Neurospora crassa OR74A: one gene and its partners. The protein of the gene in region 3 interacts with the protein of the main gene of each other region in a pairwise test. Links are inferred from orthologs where the notes say so. Each region holds a gene or a part of one and is shown on either strand. Other genes may lie near its edges. The genes, in order: NCU02624, NCU04461, NCU06402, NCU02693 and NCU06207.

What was found.
Region 1: the proteins of NCU06402 (region 3) and NCU02624 interact in binary tests that used the Saccharomyces cerevisiae proteins (3 or more experiments, as listed by UniProt). The link is inferred for Neurospora crassa OR74A from reciprocal best matches to the Saccharomyces cerevisiae genes ERG25 and ERG11.
Region 2: the proteins of NCU06402 (region 3) and NCU04461 interact in binary tests that used the Saccharomyces cerevisiae proteins (3 or more experiments, as listed by UniProt). The link is inferred for Neurospora crassa OR74A from reciprocal best matches to the Saccharomyces cerevisiae genes ERG25 and ERG28.
Region 4: the proteins of NCU06402 (region 3) and NCU02693 interact in a two-hybrid assay, tested with the Saccharomyces cerevisiae proteins (2 studies listed by BioGRID, with this or other methods). The link is inferred for Neurospora crassa OR74A from reciprocal best matches to the Saccharomyces cerevisiae genes ERG25 and ERG26.
Region 5: the proteins of NCU06402 (region 3) and NCU06207 interact in binary tests that used the Saccharomyces cerevisiae proteins (3 or more experiments, as listed by UniProt). The link is inferred for Neurospora crassa OR74A from reciprocal best matches to the Saccharomyces cerevisiae genes ERG25 and ERG3.

The regions. Positions count from the first base shown.
Region 1 is NC_026501.1:2,956,122-2,960,780, forward strand, and holds NCU02624 (cytochrome P450 51), read right to left. Parts: upstream 3,369-4,659; 5' UTR 3,101-3,368; coding exon 2,855-3,100; intron 2,783-2,854; coding exon 2,585-2,782; intron 2,523-2,584; coding exon 1,371-2,522; 3' UTR 750-1,370; downstream 1-749. UniProt on the Saccharomyces cerevisiae protein: Sterol 14alpha-demethylase that plays a critical role in the third module of ergosterol biosynthesis pathway, being ergosterol the major sterol component in fungal membranes that participates in a variety of functions.
Region 2 is NC_026504.1:3,279,062-3,282,966, reverse strand, and holds NCU04461 (transmembrane domain-containing protein), read right to left. Parts: upstream 2,365-3,905; 5' UTR 2,038-2,364; coding exon 1,972-2,037; intron 1,904-1,971; coding exon 1,442-1,903; 3' UTR 1,225-1,441; coding exon of another isoform or gene 1,001-1,224; 3' UTR 930-1,000; downstream 1-929. Other genes in the region: NCU04460 (galactose-1-phosphate uridylyltransferase), read left to right, coding at 14-65, 128-929, 1,001-1,224; NCU04462 (3-ketoacyl-CoA reductase), read left to right, coding at 2,625-2,768, 2,840-3,694. UniProt on the Saccharomyces cerevisiae protein: Part of the third module of ergosterol biosynthesis pathway that includes the late steps of the pathway.
Region 3 is NC_026504.1:2,629,638-2,634,085, reverse strand, and holds NCU06402 (C-4 methylsterol oxidase), read right to left. Parts: upstream 2,791-4,448; 5' UTR 2,547-2,790; coding exon 2,530-2,546; intron 2,453-2,529; coding exon 2,347-2,452; exon of another isoform or gene 2,272-2,346; coding exon 2,128-2,271; intron 2,066-2,127; coding exon 1,412-2,065; 3' UTR 843-1,411; downstream 1-842. Other genes in the region: NCU06401 (hypothetical protein), read left to right, coding at 456-518, 614-826.
Region 4 is NC_026501.1:3,223,830-3,228,182, forward strand, and holds NCU02693 (C-3 sterol dehydrogenase/C-4 decarboxylase), read right to left. Parts: upstream 2,901-4,353; 5' UTR 2,701-2,900; coding exon 2,218-2,700; intron 2,142-2,217; coding exon 1,506-2,141; 3' UTR 1,078-1,505; downstream 1-1,077. Other genes in the region: NCU02692 (hypothetical protein), read left to right, coding at 1-971; NCU02694 (hypothetical protein), read left to right, coding at 3,886-4,353. UniProt on the Saccharomyces cerevisiae protein: Sterol-4-alpha-carboxylate 3-dehydrogenase; part of the third module of ergosterol biosynthesis pathway that includes the late steps of the pathway.
Region 5 is NC_026503.1:1,911,694-1,916,609, reverse strand, and holds NCU06207 (C-5 sterol desaturase), read right to left. Parts: upstream 3,346-4,916; 5' UTR 2,618-3,345; coding exon 2,370-2,617; intron 2,303-2,369; coding exon 1,516-2,302; 3' UTR 448-1,515; downstream 1-447. Other genes in the region: NCU06206 (hypothetical protein), read right to left, coding at 4,556-4,916. UniProt on the Saccharomyces cerevisiae protein: C-5 sterol desaturase; part of the third module of ergosterol biosynthesis pathway that includes the late steps of the pathway. ERG3 catalyzes the introduction of a C-5 double bond in the B ring to produce 5-dehydroepisterol.

The DNA of each region.
Region 1 (4,659 bases), on a different chromosome or scaffold from region 3:
AGTTATCTATTATACGGGGGTCTTCTCTTCGTCGTCGTCGTCGTCGTCGTCTTGAAAGCAGAATGGGCAGAGGGCATGCATGGCTTTGTCGTATAGTATCGTCGTCTTTGCTGGACAATCTGCAACGATACAGATATAGATTGACCTTTGAGAAATTATCTCTATATGCTTTCCAATCTTGTGATTCCTAGGCAAACTAGACTTCCCCGTGGTTCGTGTTCCTCATGACTCCTCACTTCATTCCCATCCCCCTCCTCCCAGAGGACGTGGAGGAAGTTCGTCAACAAAACCCCAGTCAATGATGTCCAAAAATAAGGTAGCACAACACCACTCAATAGTTCCTTGTCCTTCACAAAGTCTCCAGCAGAATTAATCTCCACGTTTCAGTGCAGTGCAGTGATCTTCCAGCCATACCTCCACCATCCTCCGAGCATCTCTAACAACCATCACCTCCTCGCCGGCCTCATGAGCTGTGTGCTGTGGGCATCAGCAATCCTCGGAACCGTCTTGGCTGCGTTCAAGCATCCTCTATCTTATACTTCCATATCGCTTCGATCCGGCCTTCTATTTTCCACCAGTTGGCTGGGACCGAGTAAACCAGCAAATTCCTCACTACATAAGCTCTTCTCGTAGCAAACCCCCTTCAACTCCCTAGAAGTTATGGCTGTTGATTCGCTTAGGATTTATAACTACGTCAAGCCCCCCTCCCCCCTCCCCCCCCCCCCCTTTTTTTTTTTTTTTTTTTTTTTTTTGGGAAATGCCTAGATCTTAATAGCCCCCATGGACAACCCGCGGCGAGTGAATGAACTACGTACCCATAGCCATTCGGTCAGGCAAAGTTGTGTCATGATCGAGAACAGCATAACGAGTCACCGAAGAGGAAATGCATATTGCTCCTTCATTTCCTTCAACTGTTCACTCATTTCGGTGCAGGACACGTTTGGTGGTTGTCGGACTCGACTCGGATTATTTGACTCACCAACGCGAACTGGTGATGTTGTCCTTTCAGACTTTCGCAGATCTTCTTTTGGCTACTACAACCACACCTCCAACAACAACAACCAACACGTGCATAGAACAATCAAGAATGGATGTACTGTTCTTCGACAGTGAGGCCACCGTGTTCGTTCGTTGGTATTAGGTATTAGTTATAATGCAACTTCCTTTTCTTTCCCCTGAGTCTTCCTCGGGACACTCCTCCCATAAGGTCCATCGAGCTCTATTCTATCCTGTCTCCAAGAACACTCTTTTTCATGATTGATCAATCACGTCATTATATGCCGTAGACCCAGTTCCATAATTATAACAACTAAAACCAAAGAACGCCCATCTAAGCATCCACACCCTTCCTCACCACCACATCAGTGTCTTTACAACTGGCAACCCTCCCTCCTCTCCCAGTAAATCTTCGCCGGCTCAAGGGGCCTCGAGAAAAGCGAAGCGTAGTCGGTACCAATAACCTTATCGCTACCATCCACGTTCCTGAATTTGAAGTTACGAACAATAATAGCAAGGATAGTCTGCAGCTGCACATTGGCGAACTGCTCGCCAATGCAGCGGTGACGACCGGCGCCGAAGGGCAGATAAGGGGAGTTGGCGCCCTTGCTGACGAGACCGTAGCCGTAATCGATTTTCTCATCGTCCTCCTCGCTAGGGACGTTGCGAACAATTGTGGGCGCGAGGGGCGAGTCCTTCTCCCAGCGGTGGGGCTCCCAAAGGTCGGGCTGGGGGAAGTAGGACTCGTCCGTGGCGGAGACACCAGGGGCGGCGAGGAGGACGTGATCGGTCGGAATAACGTACTTGGTACCGGGGACGGGCATGGGCGTCTTGACGGCGCGCATGATGGAATGGATAGGGGCGTGGAGGCGGAGGGTTTCCTTGACAATGGCGGCGTGCAGGGGCAGCTTGGCGAGGTCCTCGTAGGTGAGTGGGGGGAGGTCGGCGCCGAGGTTCTTGACTTGTTCGTTGTAGAGATCCTCCATGATGTCGGGGCGGGAGGCGAGGCGGAGCATGATCCACGAGCTGGTGGAGGACGAAGAATGCTGGCCGGCCATGAGGAGGGCGATCATCATGTGGGCGATCTCGTGGTCGGGAACGGGGACGTCGCCCTTGTAGGTCGAGTTCATCAGGTGCCACATAATGTCCTGGGCGCCAGTCTCGCCGCGAGCGCGACGCTCCTTGATGGTGTCCATGTAGATCTTAGCAACGGTACGCTGGGCGTAGTCGCGACGGTTGTTCCAGGGAAGAGGGGCCCAGTGAAGCATGAAGTTGATGGGAGAGAAACCCATGTCGAGGTCGTGGTATAGGTCGGCAAGCGTCTCGTCGAACTTGTCGCGAATCTCCTTGCCCTGAAGAGCGTGCGAGGCGGTGAAGATGGTGATCTGCGCCATCTTGGGGGGAATATCGACGATGCCGGATTTTCCCTTGAAGTCGGCGGTTCTCTTGAGGTAGCTGGTAACCTCATCGGAGATGATGGGGACATATTGGCGGAAAGCTTCGGTGGTGAGCGCAATTTTCATGAACTTGTGAAAACCGTATGTTAGCACACTCTTTACCACCTCCATATGTTGTTGCCTCTGCTAACCTTCTTCTGCTCCATAAGCTTGGAGTTGGGGCAATCGTAGACGACGTCCTTGCCGAAAACAGGGGTAGTAAGGACGGTGTAAATCTCTTCGGCGTTGACATCGCGAATTTTGCCGTTCAAGATAAAGTCATTGCCCTTGGGGCCGACGTAGACAGTAGTCTTCTTTCCGAGGAGGATGAAGGTGAAGCAATCGCCGTACTGTTCGAGCGCCGAGATCGTTAGCAAGCCAAGTTCGCGCGTAGCCCAACAGGAGGCGGTTGGAGGATTTACCTTTTCCCTGTTCTCCTTGAAGAAACGCGGCGGGTCCATACCATACGTAATGGTGCTGCCGATGAGAGGAAACCAGTGGAAGACGAGAGGCGGCTCATTAGGCTTTTTGAAGAGGAACTGCTGGAGGACGTTGAGGACGACGGCAACAAACAAAAAGGAGGCGATCGCGACACCAATTTGCGACACCGTCCCCAGCTGGGAAAACTGCTGGGACAGCGGTCCCGCAACGACTTGCAGGATGCCCATGGTTGGAGAAGGAGGCGGGGAGAAGGCGTGGAGGGGAACGAAGCCAAAGTCGTGGACGCCGGCAGCAAACAAGCAAGAAAATGAATGTAGCCTGAGGAGGGGGGGTAAAAGGGGAGAAGATGGGCGACGCGACTTGATTTTATAAAGTCGGTCGATGGTTGGCGGTTATCGTAGCCTTTCCCTCTCTGGCTACGACCTATCCTAGCGATAGGCTGATAGGGGAGGGGAGGTCTACCCACCTAGCTAGGGACCAAGGGCAGTGCAGTGGTAGTGTAAAACTGGGGTGACAGCAGCACACTTTCACCAGCTTGGTGAAGCTCAGGGACCACCTCACCTTTCGGGAGCAGCTTTCCCTCCGGGCGAATAGGAGTTGGGCAGTCTGATGTCTCCCAGCCAATCATAAGAGCAGGGGCAACGCATTCGTATTCGGATTTTTGGTTGGACGGTACGTACCCTCTCCAGATCATCCAAACTAACCTATCCTTGCCGCACTGGCAACCTCAGCCCAAGATCATGCCATGGGGGAAATCGCATCTGACGGTTTCCACCATGGAAAGAGACGATTGGAGCTCTTCAGCCATGCTGTTTTGGTCTTGCAAAGGAAATGGGATGCAGACAGGGTAATGTCATGCTTGAATGGAAATCCTAACGTCTTCAGAACGCGGCGAGTACGAAGGAATACATATGAATGCCTGACTGCAGATGCAGGGCAGCGATGAACAGATATGATAATATGCATACTACTTGAATGGCCGCTATCTACATACTTCACCCCTTTCAAACATCTCACCAATTCCCAACTCGCAAGCAAAAGTATCTAACATTCCGTGCTTTGTTGAAAGAAACTTGGTCAAATACTAAAAAAGGGGTCAAGCTGGAGTTCAACGGAGCCATCTCTTGGCATTCGAGGTTGTGCTTTGCCACAGCGGCTACTCCCGCTCTCGTCTCAATCCCGCCCAAGCAAGTCATCTTGCGTCGTCCCTCGCCTTTGCTGACCACCACTATCTTTCTAGCCTATGAAAATATATTAAAAAAGGAACCAAAGAAACACGTGGAGTTCGCTATTGTTATAGTGAGGTAGTGCAATGGCGTCATCAAACGATTACGCAAACGTATTCGAATCCATGGTTTGATAGACTCATGATCGAAAATCTGTTGCTGCCGGTTCGAATATGTATGTATAGAGTAAATATATTTATTTGTTGTCTGAATCAGGTGGCTTGGTATCTTCCAATACTATGAGGCAGGTTTCCAACCGAGCCCTTTGTCACTCTACACAAAACCAACCAAATGCATTGACTTGCTTGGTTCAGACATGCAAGAAAACAGAAAAAAAAAAAAAAAAAAAAAAAAAAAAAAAAAAAAAAATCAATGCTGATTCTGACAGGAAGCCGGGACATGTTCTATCTGACATCGAAAGAAGAAAACCCATACGAAGGAATAGAGAAAAGCTTGAGTGAATGCGTGTTATGTGGTATCATGAGTGCCCTATCCCAAGAATCCCGGAATGATCAATGCTCCCCCCTTCCCCTTTTTTGTTACCCCGAAAATGAAAGTGT
Region 2 (3,905 bases), about 650 kb from region 3:
GAGTTGCAATCAGAGGACAGCAAGAGGCTCCAGCCCTCAACAAGCTTCCTGAGTATGATCCCCAGGTGCGTAATCCCCGTCCCTTCATGACTTTATATTACTCTCACTCACTCTAACTGCAACCCAGTGCTACCTTTGCCCCGGCAACAAGCGCGCCCAAGGCGACTCCAACCCGCACTACAAAAACACATTCGCCTTCGTCAACGACTACAGCGCCGTCAAAGAGGAACAGCAAGAGTACCACCCTCGGAAGGACGCCGCTGGTGACGGCGACGATGACATTGCCTCTCTCCTCCTGCAAGCGCAGCCCGCCACCGGCCGGTGCTACGTGCTCACCTTCTCCGCCAAGCACGACACCACTTTGGCGGACATGAGCGCGACCGAGATCGTACCCGTGATCGAGACCTGGACGCGCATCTACGCCAGCCACCTGTCTGCCTCGCATCCGCTCAGGGACGCCGCCGCGCGTTCACTCAGCGAGATTCCACCTAACCCGGACGGCGAAGTCGAGCCCGCGAAAAAGCAGCAGCTGCGGTACATGCAGATCTTTGAGAACAAGGGCGCGGCCATGGGCTGCTCGAACCCGCATCCGCACTGCCAGATCTGGACGACGAGCACGCTGCCCGAGGAGCCGGGCAAGGAGCTGGCGCAGATGACCAAGTACCACCGTGAGCACAAGGGGAGGCATCTGCTGGAGGACTACGTCAAGGTGGAGATGGCCAAGGGCGAGCGTGTGGTTTGGCAGAACGACGGGTTCTTGGTCGTCTGCCCTTGGTGGGCTGTCTGGCCGTTTGAGGTGCTCGTCATTGCGAAGAGACATGTGCGCGCGCTGGTGGAGCTTACGAGCGAGGAGAGGCTGCAGTTTGCCGAGGCGGTGCAGGAGGTTACGAGAAGATATGATAACTTGTTCGAGACAAACTTTCCGTATAGTAAGTTCTACTACCCTCTGCAACTGCCCGAAGGAGAGAGAAAGGGAGAAAGGAGCTAACGGTATGAGAAGGCTCGGGTATTCATCAGGCGCCGTTGGATTGCACAGAGGAAGAGGCTGAGACGAGCTGGTTCCATATGCATTTCTACCCTCCACTTCTTCGGTCTGCTACCGTGCGCAAGTTCTTGGTCGGATACGAGTTAATGGCTGAGCCGCAGAGGGATATCACTCCGGAGCAAGCGGCTGCGCGACTCAGAGACTGCGGTGGTGAGCTCTATCGCAAGTCGTTGCAGTAGTGGAAATGTATGATGCGCTTGCTTCGCTTCTTGACCGAAAAGGGTATCAATAAGTGGTACATCTTCCACAAAGCCTATCGTCGGAGTCTTATTTCACCTAATACGCGATCGCGCTTCTTATGGTCATGATCCGAGTCCACTCGCCATTCCTTTTTGGGGGCCATGTACTGCTTCCTGCTTTGATTCCCAAAGACCAGCTGGTAGCTGCACCTGTCTTTTACTGGACGTAGTAACCATACTGCAACACCATCCACAACGTGCCGCCATACGCCGCCAAGAAGGGGAAGATCTGAGGTCCGCTGAAACGCAGCGTCTTGTAGATGAAGAACTCGCTCGTAAAGTGCACGGCGGCGATGACATGGGTCCAGATACCGAGCTTGTACAACGACTCGTTCTCGAGGTTGTAGCTCGCATAGAAGCGGATGATGCCGGCCATAAAGGTGTAGGTACCGAAGACGCGGGCCGCCAGCGGCGTGACTTGGTCCTTGGCAGCCGCCTCCTTCTTCTCCGCCTCTGAGGGCGAGACGGGCTTCAGCACGTCCACGCTGTCCTCCGGGCTGAATTTGCCCTTTGCGGGCGGCAGGGAAGGGTTGGGGACGAAACGGCCGTTGTAAAGGCGTCGCGTGTAGTGGAGAGTAGTGTAGTTTTGGAGGGCGTTTCCCATAGCTACGATGGAGACCTGGACGAAGGGCGTGTTAATTGCGAAACCATGTGAAGAGTCAGGGGGACCAGCAACCGTCAACTTACAAAGAAGAGGTAGTAGGGAAGGAGACCCTTCTCGCCCGAAGGCAGGAAAGCCTTGATAGCGTCCATTTGGTTCAAACAGTTATGAAGCGGTTTGTCGTCAGGGAAGAAAGCTATCGTAAGTCCAGGATATTTGTATTGAGAAGACCTTTTGTTGTTGAGGTGTTAGTTGCCCTTCCTGTTGCAGCTCTCCATTTGTTCCAGCGGCTCGAGGATCGGATGGAAACCACACTTCGGGCCACTCTCAAGCGCGAGAGACAGGGGTCATCGTAGCATCATGGACGCAGGTCCACGGGCATTGGACGACATTTTGGAGACAACAAACAAAATCCGCCAGGCTCCCCCTTCTCCTCTATCCATTGGCCCATGGCCAGCTCCGTCGGAGTTCAATGGCGGCGTCGAGTGAGTGATGGTTCGGCAAAAGCGGGGACAACCCAGCTGCCCAGGTCCTCTCGCCGGGGCCGCGGGGCGGGACGTCTCGAAAATCTTGGCGGCTGACACATGCAAGTGTACATAGTAGGCGAGTCGACCCCAGGTCCTCCAAAAAGTTCCCAACAATTATTTGCGACCGGACCCAACTTTGAAAGTGTCACAACTCCCCGATTCAAACCAAAGGCGTTCCTTCATCAACGACTTTCGCCGACAGTCCGTACGCAATGGATAAGGTTGCCGAGATCTGGGGCACTGTCCCTCAATATGGCCAATGGGCCCTTGCTGGCATCGGCGCCCTTTACGTCGCTACTCGCGTCGGCGCTTTCCTCCAGCTGCTCCTTAACGCTTTCATCCTGAGCGGCACCAACGTACGTCTCTTCGCAAACTTACTTGGGACTGAAGATTGTCAGGTGAATGTGGCTAACATCAACCTTGACAGCTCCGCAAGTATGGCAAGAAGGGCACCTGGGCTGTTATCACTGGTGCCTCCGATGGTCTCGGAAAGGAGTTCGCCCAGCAGCTCGCCTCCAAGGGCTTCAACCTCGTTCTCGTCTCTCGCACTCAGTCCAAGCTGGACGTCCTTGCTAGGGAGCTCGAGCTCAGATGGGATGGTTTCAAGGCCAAGACTTTCGCCATGGACTTCTCCAAGGACGACGATTCCGACTACGAGCGTCTCGCCGAGCTCATCAAGGGCCTCGACATTGGTATCTTGATCAACAACGTTGGCCAGTCCCACAGCATCCCCGTTCCTTTCCTCCAGACCGACCGCGACGAGCTCCAGAACATTGTCACCATCAACTGCCTCGGCACACTCAAGACCACCAAGGTTGTCGCTCCCATCCTCGCCCAGCGCAAGAAGGGTCTTATCCTTACCATGGGCTCTTTCGCCGGTGTTATGCCCACCCCCTACCTTGCCACCTACAGCGGCAGCAAGGCGTTCCTCCAGCACTGGAGCAGCGCTCTCTCTGCCGAGCTCAAGGACCAGGGCGTCGATGTCCACCTTGTTGTCAGCTACCTCGTTACCACTGCCATGAGCAAGATCCGCCGCACCAGCCTCCTCATCCCCAACCCCAAGCAGTTCGTCCGCGCTGCTCTCGGCAAGGTTGGCCTCAACAGCTCCGAGCCCTTTCCTAACACCTACACCCCCTGGTGGAGCCATGCTGTGTTCAAGTGGGTTGTTGAGAACACTGTCGGTGCCTACAGCTACTTTACCCTCAGGCTGAACAAGAACATGCACATCGACATCCGCAACCGCGCTCTCCGCAAGGCCGCTCGTGAAGCCAAGAAGCAGTAAGCGCATATCGCAGCTTCTAGCTACCATGTTTCTCACGTGAAGCTGGGAAGGAGCATGGACTTGTGGCATGATGGCTCTAGCCAAAAGACACATCCCATTGGCCTGCGTTACATCCACCCTTCGGACCCTGTATCTATTGTAGAGAAAATGAGAAACTTCGGCCCGTTGTTAGCAGACGAGTTCATAATGTGAGTGGAATGTACAGAAAGCT
Region 3 (4,448 bases):
GATGGTCAAATCACATACATGCACGCACAAGTGGTGTTGATGATGAAGGAAAATCCGAACGGACAAATGAAAGAAAGAAACCGAGCTGCGACGCCAGCCAGCCAGCCAGCCAGCCAGTTATGACGGATAAGGTATCTGATATACCTACCTACCTCTCTACTATGTCTATCTGGCTGAAGTGCTTATTCTCGTCCGATTTGGACTCTTGGATGGGTTTTGAAATTCGGGCTCTTGCTTTATCTTTACTATGCACCCCCCCCCCTCCCATATATGATTGCTCTTTTCTTCGTTTTCTCCTTGTTGCACACAGCTCCGACCCCATTATTACTCACGATTTGCGTGGCTACAATATACCGAGCGTGTCTCATAGGGCATGCAAGACTGTGTTACACACCCAGAGACTCAGATAATTCCGAGTTATAACCAAGATCCTAATCTCGACGCCTCCCAATTAGGACTTTATGACTGCCGTCTCCCTGCAATGCAAGCTCAAGAACCACCATCCCGAATGGTCCAATGTAAGCCACATCCTCTCTCTCTCCTCTACATGCTCTCTTTTGCCACATATCCTCTCCCTCTTATCTTCCTCTCTAATCTCACCGCCCCTGCCTAGGTCTTCAACACAACCTTCATTCGCTGGACGACTCACGTCCCCAAAGGTCTCTCATCCCTGGACATTGAACTAGCTACTATCTGCGACTCCTTGGCCAAAGACTTTGGCGAGACTGAGCCGGAAGCTGGCGCCAGCTGCGCCATGCCCAACTTGACCGACCGGGCCGTGGCTTCGTCTGGTGATTGCTGCACGCCTACGCACCTTAAGAAGTGAAGTAATTGACAGAAGCTTCACTCAGGAGTCATCAAGGGTGTATGTAAGTGTATCTAGGTTATGTATTTTACTTTCATGATCCTCTCATTACTAGATTATCAAAAGGGCTTTGTATGGAAGGGGTAGAGGGCTGGGCACGGGGTGGTGCTTTGCCGAGGAGGACGCCGAAAGAAGGAATCAGCTATGTACAAGAATTAATAGAAGCGAGAAGGAAAATGCCCCCCTCCCCAACTGCACCACCGCGTGCGTACGGCAAGAAAGGTGCGACGCAACTCTCTTCCTCTTCCAAACGCCTTTTTTGCATGGAGGTGTGCATCGGTTGGTCCGTGTTCGACCAAAACCGCACCTCTCTTCTTATCTTTCAGCCAAAATAAACCAACCCGTTTCTGGCCTTTATCGAATCCTTATTTCCCTGATTTGTCTCATGGACCAATTCCCATCGTTAGGTGGTTCTTCCCTTCCTTCTTCCCCGTTGTTTGGTGATGCGTTGTCCAAAATTAGTGAGGTCGAATAGAAGACCTTGGAAGACAACAGTACGAATACCGTGAACGGTATCATAACAGCGGATCCATAAACTCCACCCATTTACTGGGCCTTCTTGGCCTTGATGGCCGCAAGCTTCTTGTCACGGCGAGCCTTGGCAGCTTCCTCACCGGCCTCGGTGTCGAGGCAGTAATCCCACCAGCGGAAGCTGGAGGCATAGTTGCCGATGAAGCGCTCGTGGTGGAGATCGTGGTGCTCAGCACCGCACCAGAAGGGGAGGAAGTGGCGCAAGCTGAAGGGGAAGTCATAGCCGGAATGGGCGTCGATGGCCTGGAAGAGACGGAGGACAATCCAGACATACATGGTGGCGAGATGGAGGTCCTTGGTGATGGAAACCCAGAGGATGGGGGATCCTACAGTACCAATACCGAGGAGCATAACCTCAATGGGGGAGGCGTACTCGGCGGTGAGACCAAAGGGCGCGCTGTACGTGTGGTGAATCTTGTGGATGGCCTTGTAGAGAGGGCCGTAGTGAAGCGCGCGGTGGTTCCAATAGTGCCAAGCATCCTCCATGACGAAGAAGATGCAGATGTGAAGGGCCATCTTCCAAAGAGGAGGGAAGGGCACGCCATAGTCGAGACCAAAGTAGGTGGCGATGGGGTGGAAGAGCCAGATCTGAGGGAGTTCGACGGTGCAGTGGCTGAGGAGAACGAGACCGGCGCACTCGAACTGTTCCCTCCAGGTGGGGCGTTTTTCCTATGTGGTTGTTAGTTTCTTTTGCTTTTTGAGTCTCAGGTCATGCTTGGCTGGGCACTAACTTTTTGAATCTTGTACTTGTTGAACATGGGGAGAGCATCGATGATCATCCACGGGAGCGACCTGCCGAAGTAGACGATCTCGTGCATGAAGAAGCTCATGAGACCGGTCGCGAGAACGTCGTTCTGCATCCACAGATACCACGCCTATCGTCCAACGTTAGCTATCCTTGTTCGTGTCTCGTCCCGGCGTTTCGGGGTTGGGTTGCAGGGGCCGCGTACCGCCCAGAGCTTCTCGGGGTAGCTCAGCTGAACATTGTACTTGGAAACCTCCTCCAAGACGGTGAAGTACGTGTCTGTCGAGCTCAGGCCAGCGACGGTCGCATTACTAGATGACGGGACGATACGAGTCAGCTTTCGATCTGGGCACGGTTGACAGGCGCACGATGGTAAACAAGAACGTACAGGACTGCCGAAGCCATGGTGGGCGAATAGAGAATAGGCGCCTCCAATTAGGTGTTGCTGGGTGTTGGAACGCGAGGAGGGACCTGTAGCGAGGAAAGAAGATACTATGCGCGTGGAGGAAACCGGGGCAAGAAAAAGAAACAATCGACCGCGTCCTCTTGCAAGTGGGATGCTAGGGAAAGGCGACTGACAAGTTTAGGGGTTGCTGGATTTTTTAAAGTCCTTTTGCCTTTGGTGTCCTTTGGCGGGAGCCCCTGAGAGACGTGTTGGGTTGACCAATGGCGGGAATGACCCCAGAATCGGCCCACTGCGAAGCTGTTGTTTCCGCCTTCCGGACCCACTCTTGGATGTTGTTTCACCAAGTTCGAATGACCGGACGGCGACTCTCAGCGAGTGCTCAATGAAACTGAGAGCCCGCCAAGCAATGAAATCCCAACACCATGCTCTGCCGTGCATTGAGATGTGCCATTGTTCCTCCTTGGGCTCCTATCTTTTGAGTTCCTTGGGTGACAGGCACTGACCACGTCACCGCGAGGTGGGAAACTGAGGGCGAAGTTCCATCAGATAAGGAATGGAAGTTGAAGTGATCTACGCGGAGATACGGCGGCATGTGTGTGGTATTGATCTCAACCATAACTTTTTCATACATACCTGTACACTACTTACCGTGCCTCACCACTGCGGTTGGTACACTAGTAGAGGTCGGCTGACTGACAACAAAAGGCTACTGTAGTTTACCATACAACACACATCTCCATCCCTTTGACATGGAATCTCCCATCGAGAACCTCGAATTGCCCGGAGTTTGCCAGTGATATGGAACGATTGCATCCACACCGTGATCCCACCTCTTCTTCGGCTGGTTCGTTGCCATCCTGCCATGCACCACCCAGGCAAATCAGGTCGCCAGGGGGGTTGGCGTGATGGACCAGTTGGATTGGCACGTTGAGCCACTGACGGCGAACTGGCACAGTTGGCATCGGTAATTTCCATACGGTACGTACCTGAGCGGCGACAGCGGGCGGAGCAGCTACGCTACGTTTTAATGGGATCGTCACTTTTTTCCCCAAAGCTCGTTCGTGGATGCTTTCACAGACTGGTATGTTTGCAAAACATCTGGTATTCCGTAATGGCTCAGAGAACATTGCCAAACTACGAGTTGTGTCCCTGACTTCAATGCCGTGGTTGACCACTTGAGGCTTTTGGCATCGGCAGTTTGTCACCGCCTTTGAAAGTTGGGCTTGGCATCTTCAATCCATCCTTGGACATCATAGGCTGACATTTGAGCTTCGATTCGACCTTCATTTGGTTGTGTCTGACTACAATATTCTGTCGCACCTCTCCTCGGCAACTACACGTGTACATCTTGCCGACAATAGGTCATCAACTCATCAGGTCATTCATTGATGAGGCTCAACTGTCCTCATCTTACCACGCATTTCTCCTTTGGCCGGATCGCAGCCGAACCAAGTTGCAAGTCAGTCGGCTCCCATCCCCGCCTTACCAATCCTGTCATCGATCATCACTCGGTGGGTTTCGGACGCCCGCCCGCCCCGCTTGTCAAGCCCAAAGAAACATCCCCACCTCATCCCACATTTCCGGGTTTGACAGTGACAGCCCAAAGCCTTGAACAAGAACCGACCATCTCGGCAATCTTCACATCCGGTACCCGTACTACGCCCCCACTTTTTTGGGACTCGCAAACTCGCACCCACCTAAGTGGGTGCTCACGAATAACACGGCCACACCACTAAAACGGCCACCAGGGTTAGAGGTGCAAATCAGATAAACGATACCAAAACAGTGAACGCCCACAACGTATTTCAATAATTAATTGAAAATAAAGAAAGAGCTAGAGGATAGTTAGAATAGAGTAATGTATCCGTCCAGCTTTTTATTTCTCAGAAATTTCTATATGT
Region 4 (4,353 bases), on a different chromosome or scaffold from region 3:
CACTTTCGGACCCAGGGGCGTTCGTTGCTGACTTGGCGGCGGGGAGGATTGGGATGGATGGTGATCCGTTGCTTAATGGGCCTGGACCTACTGGTGATGGTAGTAGTAACGATGACGACAATGATGACGATGGGGATGACGATGGGGATGACGATGGGGATGACGATGGGGATGAGGATGGGGATGAGGATATGAACTCAGAAGGAGACAGTGTTGATGGCGAAGATGATGGCGATGATGGCGAATATGATGGAGCAGCGGTCCCATCGAGTTCGGGATTACCGCACGACCCAGACGGCGATATATCCATGTCCGGCGCCGGCGCCGGCGCTGGGAATACCTCACCCACATCTACCCATAATTGTAACAGCAACAACAGCAGACGCAATGTACCAAAGAGGAAAGACCGCGTCAGCAAGACAACAACAACAACAACAACAACAAAACCGCCACAGGGCCTCTCCAAAACCTGGCGCTCCCTTCCCAAGCCGCAAACGGTTGTCCGCTGTCCGCCCATCAACTGGGCCCAGTACGCCATCGTAGGCGAGTCGCTTGATAAGCTGCACCGCGAGCAATTGACGGCGCCTACGCTGGGGGTACCTGCGGTTCTTAGTGTCGGGGGAGTATATGAATTCAGAGGGACAGCGGCGGCGGCAGCAGGAGCAGCACCAGGAGGGGGCGTTGTTAGCGTTGGTAATGGAAGTGGTTATGCCATGGGAGATACCACGGCAACAACAGACCGGACCTCTACGCCACCAACGACAACGATGGCGACCACGGCTGGAACAGAAGCGCAGCAGTCACCAGGGGAGACATTGGGACAGGGACAAGGGCAAGGGCAAGGACAAGGACAATTTCCAACACTAGGACGAAATGAACAATCGCAGAGATTGGTTGGTATTGCAGCGCCGTACACGCCTGGAAGAGATAAGATCGAGAGGACGACAGGCAGGAAAGGAGCCAAGCGCTGAACTTGACATTTCCTAAGACATATGAAGGAATTGAAGTGGCCTACGAAGGGGATAGCATGGCGTTAGGGTATCATGGTGTATGGGATTAGCAAGAGAATTAAGTTTAGCGAGCGATCAAGATCGGAATGCTTCTGTTAGTCACTTATGGACCGGTAACAGACCTAATCTAGAAACTACGTACACGCACCGGCATCATACTGTTCAGTCTGGGCTTTGTTGAAGGAGTTTCGTAGCTTCGCGTGACATGTTTAGCATCTGTCCGTGGATCAATATCCAGCTCACCCCTTCATCCGGCCAACATGTCTGAGAGAGGCATGCCTCGTCGTCCGTCATCCAAATGTCGTCATTAGATATTATTATACAGCGGGACAGATAGTACGGCGCGTTCCAGCACGCAAGGCCCGACTTATTTCGCCTCATCAGCGCTTGTCCAATGTTTCATATACAGTTATCATGCCTTCCGTCGATGTTTGCTTCTTTCACCACCACCACCACCACACCCTTTATCCCTTCCACATTCAAGGCCTGCTATACCTATTGCAACTTCTCCCCCTTCTGCTGCTCCAGCGTCCACTTAACCGACCTCTTCACCGCCTCATCCAATGGCACCAGCGGCTTATATCCCAACCGCTTCTTAGCCTTGGAAATATCGTAGTACCTCGTCATGCAGCTATAAATGATGCGCTGCCTATTAAACGTCGGCGGCTTGCGAATGATCCCAAAGAAGACTTCCGACAAAAAGCCCAGCACAATACCAACATCGCGCGGCAAAACCCACACGTGCTCAGTCCCATGGGGAGATCCCGCAGCGTTCCACACAGCCCGGCAGAAATCCCAAAAGTACACGGGCGAGTCGTTGGTAATGATGAAGGCCTCGCCATCGACGCGCTCATGGTCTAGTGGGGCGATCTTGAGCTTGGAGGTTTGGAGGAGGGCGACGGCGGCCAACAAGTGACCGTGCGCTACGTTCTCGACGTAGGTGAAGTCGAAGAGGTTATCGTTGTCGCCGACTTGAACCGAGGTCTTGCCGTTCTGGTACAGTTTGATTAGGTGGTACAGCGTCATGGTGTCGCCTTCGCCCATGATGCCTGAGGGACGGATGGAGCAGGTGAGCAGGGAAGGGGCGGCAGCGGAACGGTTGGCCTGGAGGACCAGTTCTTCGGCGGCGGCCTGGAGGGAGGGGGAGGTTAGTTTTGGGATGCATCACTCTTGGGGGATATGGGAGAGAGGGGAAGTAGGAGGGTACCTTTGTCTCCGAATAGTACTCGCTCTGCTGGGCTCCACGGATGACGGGCCAACGTTCGTCCGCATTGATGAGGTCGGACTTGTTATCACTCATCACACTGGCGGAACTGGTGTAGACGAGGGCGGTAACGCCCGTCTGCTGACACGCCTTGATGATGGCGGCGGTGCCGTCGACGTTGACCTTCTTGAACAGCGCATGAGAGACGCTGTCGTTGGACTGGGCGGCAGGCGACGCGGTGTGGATGACGACCTGGGGCTTGACCTGGTTGAAGATGGTTTCGAGCCTGGCGGGGTCTGTGATGTCGGCCTCGAAGTATTGGACGCCATCCGACTCGGGTCGCCGGTTCCGCGTGCAGCGTAGGTCGATGACGGAAACGGAGCAGATGTAGTCGCGGAGGAGCACGCGGACAACGTGGTGACCGAGGAAGCCACAGCCGCCAATCACCATGACGGAGCCAAGCTCCGGCTTCTTTTCTGAGGCCATCGTGGGATGTATGCGGGGTATCGACAAGGGAAGAGCAATGGATTGGAGCGTTGGGAGAAAGGCAGGAAAGATGGACTGAAGGAGGGTCAATTGGGAAACTGTCTAGTTCTAGAGCAAGGGACGTGGGATCATGGGTAGGATATCTTCGAAGCCGGGGGACAAGGATGCCATTTTGAGCTACAAATTGCAACCTATCAGGGACATGCCACTGTGTCTCTGGCTCCGCGTCTCGGCTCCAAGCACGCCACTTACAGTAATTTCCCCTCAAAGTGCATGCACCTGATAATGCATAAAGCCCTCTAGATGCGTAGAAATTGGCGGCCGCAATTAGTTGGTATGGGAAATCGCATAAGTGCTTGAATGCCCCTGTATGTGAAACGGCCGGCCATTTCGGTGTAATATGCACTATTTGGAACACCTTTTTCAGGGCCTTTTAGGACTTTATAGGCAAGCTAGCACTCTCTGAACCTCTGAAATTTTCATACTAAGGGAGCAAAAAGACTTGGCATGTGCCTGCTAGTGCATATGTGCCTCTAGATGCATATAAACCCCTGGCCCGGATTACATGCACTTTCAGGGGAAATTACTGTACCTAGCTCTTGACAGCCAGTGAGGTACGACACGGCGACACGCCTGTGGAAAACATCGTGACCCCTTTTTAAGAGGCTGGATTTTGGGCGGAACCTACAGAAGGGCAAAATGAAGGACCCCTGTTGTCCATCAAGGTCGACGGGGTGCGGCTCGCAGTGGACCTGAGTGGATGAAGGCGCACAGGGACCCGTGCTCTCCCATCTTCCAAGTTCCAACATCGTGAGACCTTGCCATAAAGGTGGAACCTAGTACTATCGATCCCGCCTGCACATAGAGGTACCCAACTGAATGCGACGGGCACGCGGTTTTCCATTTTTTTTTTGTTGCCAGATCCCGTCGTGCAGCCAGTCAACAATGCGCATTTGCTCCCTTTCGTTGTCCTCCCACAACGGCGTTTCTCTTCACTTCCACCTCGTAAGAATCTGGAACACTTTACTGTCTGTCAGGCAACAGCCTTCCATCCAGCGTCTCACCCTTACCCATAAACCCATGATCCAGCACACTTCCAACTTCTATATCTCGATTGCAACGCAGCCCAGCCCATTCCATGGCACTCGACAACCACAGCTTAAACTGGTGCCCTGACGCAGTGTGATGAACAAAAAATCCGCGACCGAAATCCTCGTCCATATCACAGCTCCTAGCAGATCGAAAGACGATGCCAACTATAGAGCACTCGCCAATGCATATAACAACTTTGAACCCACCACGCGCACATCCGTGTTCAGCAAGACAATATCACCAAATGTCGTAGTTCATCAGGCCGCCGTGCAGCCTCAGCCCGTTGGAAATGGCTCCCTAGGACCCTCCACGCAACCGGATCAGATCCTTCGGTCGTCTGAAGTAGCAGGATTTGTCGAAACACCGGTGTTATCGTGGCGCGATGCCGCGAACAATTTAGCATCGCCCAGCTTGCGGATGAGGCACGATGAGCCTAGCCAATACTCACAGGTTTCATGGCAACCTCCTGCAAGCGTTGTTCAAGATTCACTGCCAGACAATAATGTGACTTTGTCTCAGTTTTGCACACCGACAAGGCTGTTAGAGGACTATCTACATCCT
Region 5 (4,916 bases), on a different chromosome or scaffold from region 3:
CTTTACTACTGCTGTCACAACAACTGTACCAACACCAACCGACCGTTATACTATCGTTACAACATCACTCACACGTTTCCTTACTCTTTTTTTTCTTCTTTTCGTTCTGGAGGTCTTGTCTATTCTCTCAAGCGAGCAAGATTTGGCGCAGAAAGGGCGATGTGGGGGGCGGGTGTCTGGCTTCGTTCTGCCTCTTAGTTTCTTTTTATCCCCATCTATTACGTTGTTGCGTTTGATGGTGGGCAACTCATCTAGTATCTATTCAAGCTAGTCAACCATGCAGAACCCCAAATACCCATTAGCTTTTCCCTGTCGACTCCCTTCTGTATAGTGCCCCCTCACTACCTCACATCTGCGTGCTGTCGAATTTCCAATCTACTCTCAGCGAACCCTATAGTTCTGCTCCTCTTTTGCACGAGGTTCTAACTTGAGATCATACTATCCAAAGCGGAAGTGACAGGAGGCCTCCAGTTTCGCTTATCTCCGGTTCAACGGGGGCGTTCCAAGCTCAGAAGCAATCTTAGCGTTTGCTTGGCCTTCTAATTTATGTTGTACCTATGGTCTTGTGTTGTGTGGCTTGGCCATTTCGTTTCGGTTTACTCATATATGTGATGCCTCGCCTTGTTCCCTTGAAGATGTCAGGAAAGCAAGACATGCTAGTAACACTGGTCATACCTACCAGGATACTGAATTTGGAAGTACATGTCGCCTGTGCCATAGTGGAGCGATGGGTTGTTGTATGACTTGGGGACAGTGACCGCCTAGGTTTGTGTTGTTTACTCGGAGGCTGGCTCTCATCCTTTGAGAACTATCTTCTTGTGTTCTTTGCCTGTCTGTGTCATTATATATGGTCATCTGAACGGCAACCTTTCCAGCATATGTTTCATTGCCTCGAGGGACAACAGATAGATCCGTACATGATGCGTATGTGCAAAGATGCGGGTATATATAAAATGATATAAAGTATGTACAACGAGTAGGTTATTAGAATCCTTCTAATGGACAAACAGTGAGTGACCACTGTTTTTGTTTTTCTTGAATGTGTTGTTATTAGCTCCATCCGTCCCAATCCAGTTACCTATATTCAGTCATTCCATCATTTGGTTTATGAGACTAACTCCTCCTTCATGGTGGGTACTGTATTATAGTACCCTCTTGCCTTTTGTTAAGCTGGTCCGGCGCGGCGGGTTTCCAGATGGTATACATCCGTATCCAATGTGGTGTACCGCCGTTCTCGTTCGTGTGTTGAGTTGTCATCGACCGCCGTCCGTGCCACCATCCCACATCGCATGAAGGGTCGCAGATCCTTGGTGTCAGCCAACCATTCAACCCGGGTCCCTGATCCAGGACCATAAGACCGGGTGGCTTGGTCTTGGCCGGATGACGCTGATTCGTTAATCCCATTTGTCCTTTTTTCTTTTTCTTTTTTTTTTCCTTCCCTTGAGGGAGAAAAAAATGACATCAACCAGAACTGGTGAGATTTCTATTCCTCCTCGTTTTTTCTCGCACTTCACTCTATTTCGACTTCTTAGTCTCGGTCGGCTCGTAAAGCCGATCATCCTCACCCTCCACCTCCTTGACAATCTTCTCCATCTCGTTGACCTGCTTCTTCCACGTCGTTGTGCTCATCTTCTTCTCCTTCGCGAACATGTCACCGTCGGGCTCCCTGTAGCTGCCGCCGAGGCGGTCCCACAGCGTGGTGAACTGGCCGTAGTTGTAGTTGAAGGCGAAGTGGTGAACCGAGTGGCAGGCGGCACCGTTGATCACGGGGTTATTGGCATAGTACTCGCCGTCGTGGATCATGATGGTCCAGAAGTTGATAAACACGAAAAGGCCGACGTACGCCATCTTCTGGAGCGGAAAGATAAAGGGGAAAATGTGGTAGGGGATGCTCTGGGCGAAACCGTCGATGGGGTGGAAGGCGTGGCTGGCATAGGGAGTTGGCATGATCCACTTGTGGTGAGGCTTGTGCAGGTGCTTGTACACGAGCGGGTGGTGAAGGCCACGGTGGATCCAGTAGATGCCAAAATCGGTGAACATGATGAAGAGTGGGAACTGGAAGAAGTCGTACCAGCGACCAGGACCCTCGGCCGTGGTGTCGTAGAGGAGTGAGTAACCGCGCACTTCGGCAACCAGGAAGGGGAATGTGAAGAACGCCATGACGGGCAGGGCGGCGTTGGTCTGCTTGATCTCGAGCCAGACCTGGTTCTTAAGGAACTTGGGGTGCTCCATAGTCTTCTTGTCGAAGACGAAGATGTAGGAGAGGGAGGCGAAGACGTAGTAGGTTACGAGACCGAAGAGCCTGTGTGTAAGCCAAGGTTAGCGTGTTTGCGCCCAACTCGAACATGAAAAAAGGGGTTTGCGCGCACCATAGTATTAAAAAGAGCGATAGAGCCTGACGGTAGATGTTGTCTCTTGTCCAGATACTCTGGTAGGCCGCCTGCGAAGGCTCGAGCGAGAAGAACTTGGTCGCGGGCTCATACACCCAGGACGAGAAAGCTTGTGCGGTGCCATTGGTCTTGTCGGGGAAATCATAGAGAGCAGGTCGTGCTGGTAGTAGCCAGGCGTACATGTAATCGAACATGAACTGGTCGGTGACCTCGAGGACCACGTCCATCTTGACGGTGGTTGTTGGGCTTGCGCGCCAAAGAAGGGATAATCAAGTTGAGTAACAGCAAGCCGAGCAAGCTTTGTGTTCCAGGCCCGGATCAAGACCGTGTCGGGTGCCTGTAGATAAGCAACAAGGGGGAGAAAGGCGTGGGTCCTGGTGGGTAGCCAAAAGGAATGATGGAATGAAGGACCGACACCGGGAAGAGACCGCGGCGCAGAAGGTTTAAAAAGAAAACAGAAGAACACGATGAATAATGGGAAAGAAAGAGTGTGCCGCGAATCCGATACAAGATGTGTCGCTGGCAATAAAGTGACAGGCCCAATTTCTCATGTCATAACCACCCCTGAACGATCGGCTTCCCGAACGAGCGTCGCGTCGAAAACAAGCGGACCTTCGTCGAGCGTGCCAAGGCCCGGGGACGAGGGTAGTTGTCCTTGCTGGCCCCGTAAATCCGTGGGCTGCTCCGAACAAGGACAACAGAAGCTCTCTCGCACGCCTGCGATAACGGTGCAGTGACAAGCGAACGGGTTGGATTCTGAGTGAAGACAGGCATTCTTGAAGGTGGAAGATAAGTAAACAGATATCTGCAGTAATTTGTAGCTTGAGCGTCACAGGCCAGCAGGAATGCGGAATATTTGCTTCCCACAATGAGCTTCGTTGTTGAACAATCCATCAACATCATCATCGCCAATAACCCCTTTTTTTTTCAGTTTTGCCCCAAGATCTAATCAAATCTGGGCCCCGAATGGGCCGCTCGTCTTGCCATCTCCGCACCGTGAGTGGTGGTGGTGGTGAGACGGGAGGTCTTCTAAGGGAAGCCCGGACCCATCCGAGAACCTCTTTTTTTTCTTTCCTCCACCAACGACGGGAACGTCAGAGATTCCGAATGGATCCACCCGTCTTTGCATTCTTCGACCGTACCTTCCTCTTGCCTCTCTGAAATGTTCTTCAATTGCTTTTACAATAGCTCGCCAAACGAAGAAAAGCGTTGTATGCTCTCACATCGCAAGTTGGCAATAACAAAATGGGCTGTCAACCCAACGTCTTGTCCTCGACGTTGCATGATGGGTGGCACGTTTGACAAGAAGCTGATCTCGACAGCACAAGGGACCTTGATTGAGCTCCGTGATTGGATGGCCCAGCCAAGTCACTGAATGCAAGAAAGCCGAAAGTGATTCAATGGAGAACGCTTGACTCTCGGAAGCAGGAAGATGCGAACGACCAAAATGGCGTGGTTTTGGAACGATCCGGAGCCGTGAGAAACCCCTCCACCTGTCCCCACTCTTTCTTCCCCACAGCAAGATCTTATCTGGTAAAGGATACAACTGATTCATTGGTGACCTGACCTGGCTCCTCGAACGCCCCTCATTTAAAAGTCAGGTACAACTTGTCACAATCCCAAGACTTGGGATCAAAGAGATCTCCCGCTGTTCAAGTCGCTAACTGTCATCTGCTTTTTGCCAAATGCAAGATCCGCGACGAACAACGGTGAAGAAAAGAGTGATGAAGATCCCATTTGTCTCCAGTGGTCGATTTCGAACATTTTCCACAAAGGCATGGGCACCACTGGTTTTATCAGATGCGCCCAGAGTGAGTTGGCTGACTGTTGTTGGATGGAGCTAGAGATCTTGATCTCCAATACATACAAAAGACCACAATTGCCTACCGAGTTCTCAGAGAGTACACCACCACATGGAACCCCATTCCATCAGCCAAATGGCTTTGGGCAAGTGAATTACTATCAAGGGTCTTGCAGCAACATTATTTCAGGGGTGAATGCAAAAAACGGAACTTGAAGTTCAACAAAGAGCCACCGTTTGAGCTAAACTCTGTTGTTACCCTGTTGTTACCCAAATATTCAACCTCTAACCACGTGTTGATATCCAGCTTCGATCCATCGTCGATCCAGACATCTCCCCTCCCACAGAAACACAATCCCACTCCTCACTCCTCGTCCTCTTCCACCCAAGTCTTATCATCCATCGAAAGCTTCATATCAACATGTTGCGATTCCGGAATGTCGACAACCGGAACGGGAAGCACAGCAGCAGGTGTTGTCGTCGTCGTCTTCTCCTCCCCCTCATAGAAAGAGCGAGGAACTAAAATCCACAGACAAAACAGTATTAACAAACTGTCAAGAAGAACCCAGGAAATATCAACATCCGTAAATCCCTTACCAAAACTCGAAGCACCAGCAGCACCCTTCGCCCCTTCCGCCATCCCGGTGCCCTGACACTGACACTGAGCTGCCGCCGCGCCCGCGCCCGCGCCCGTCGTGGTTTGCAGCGTGCACATAGACAACGCA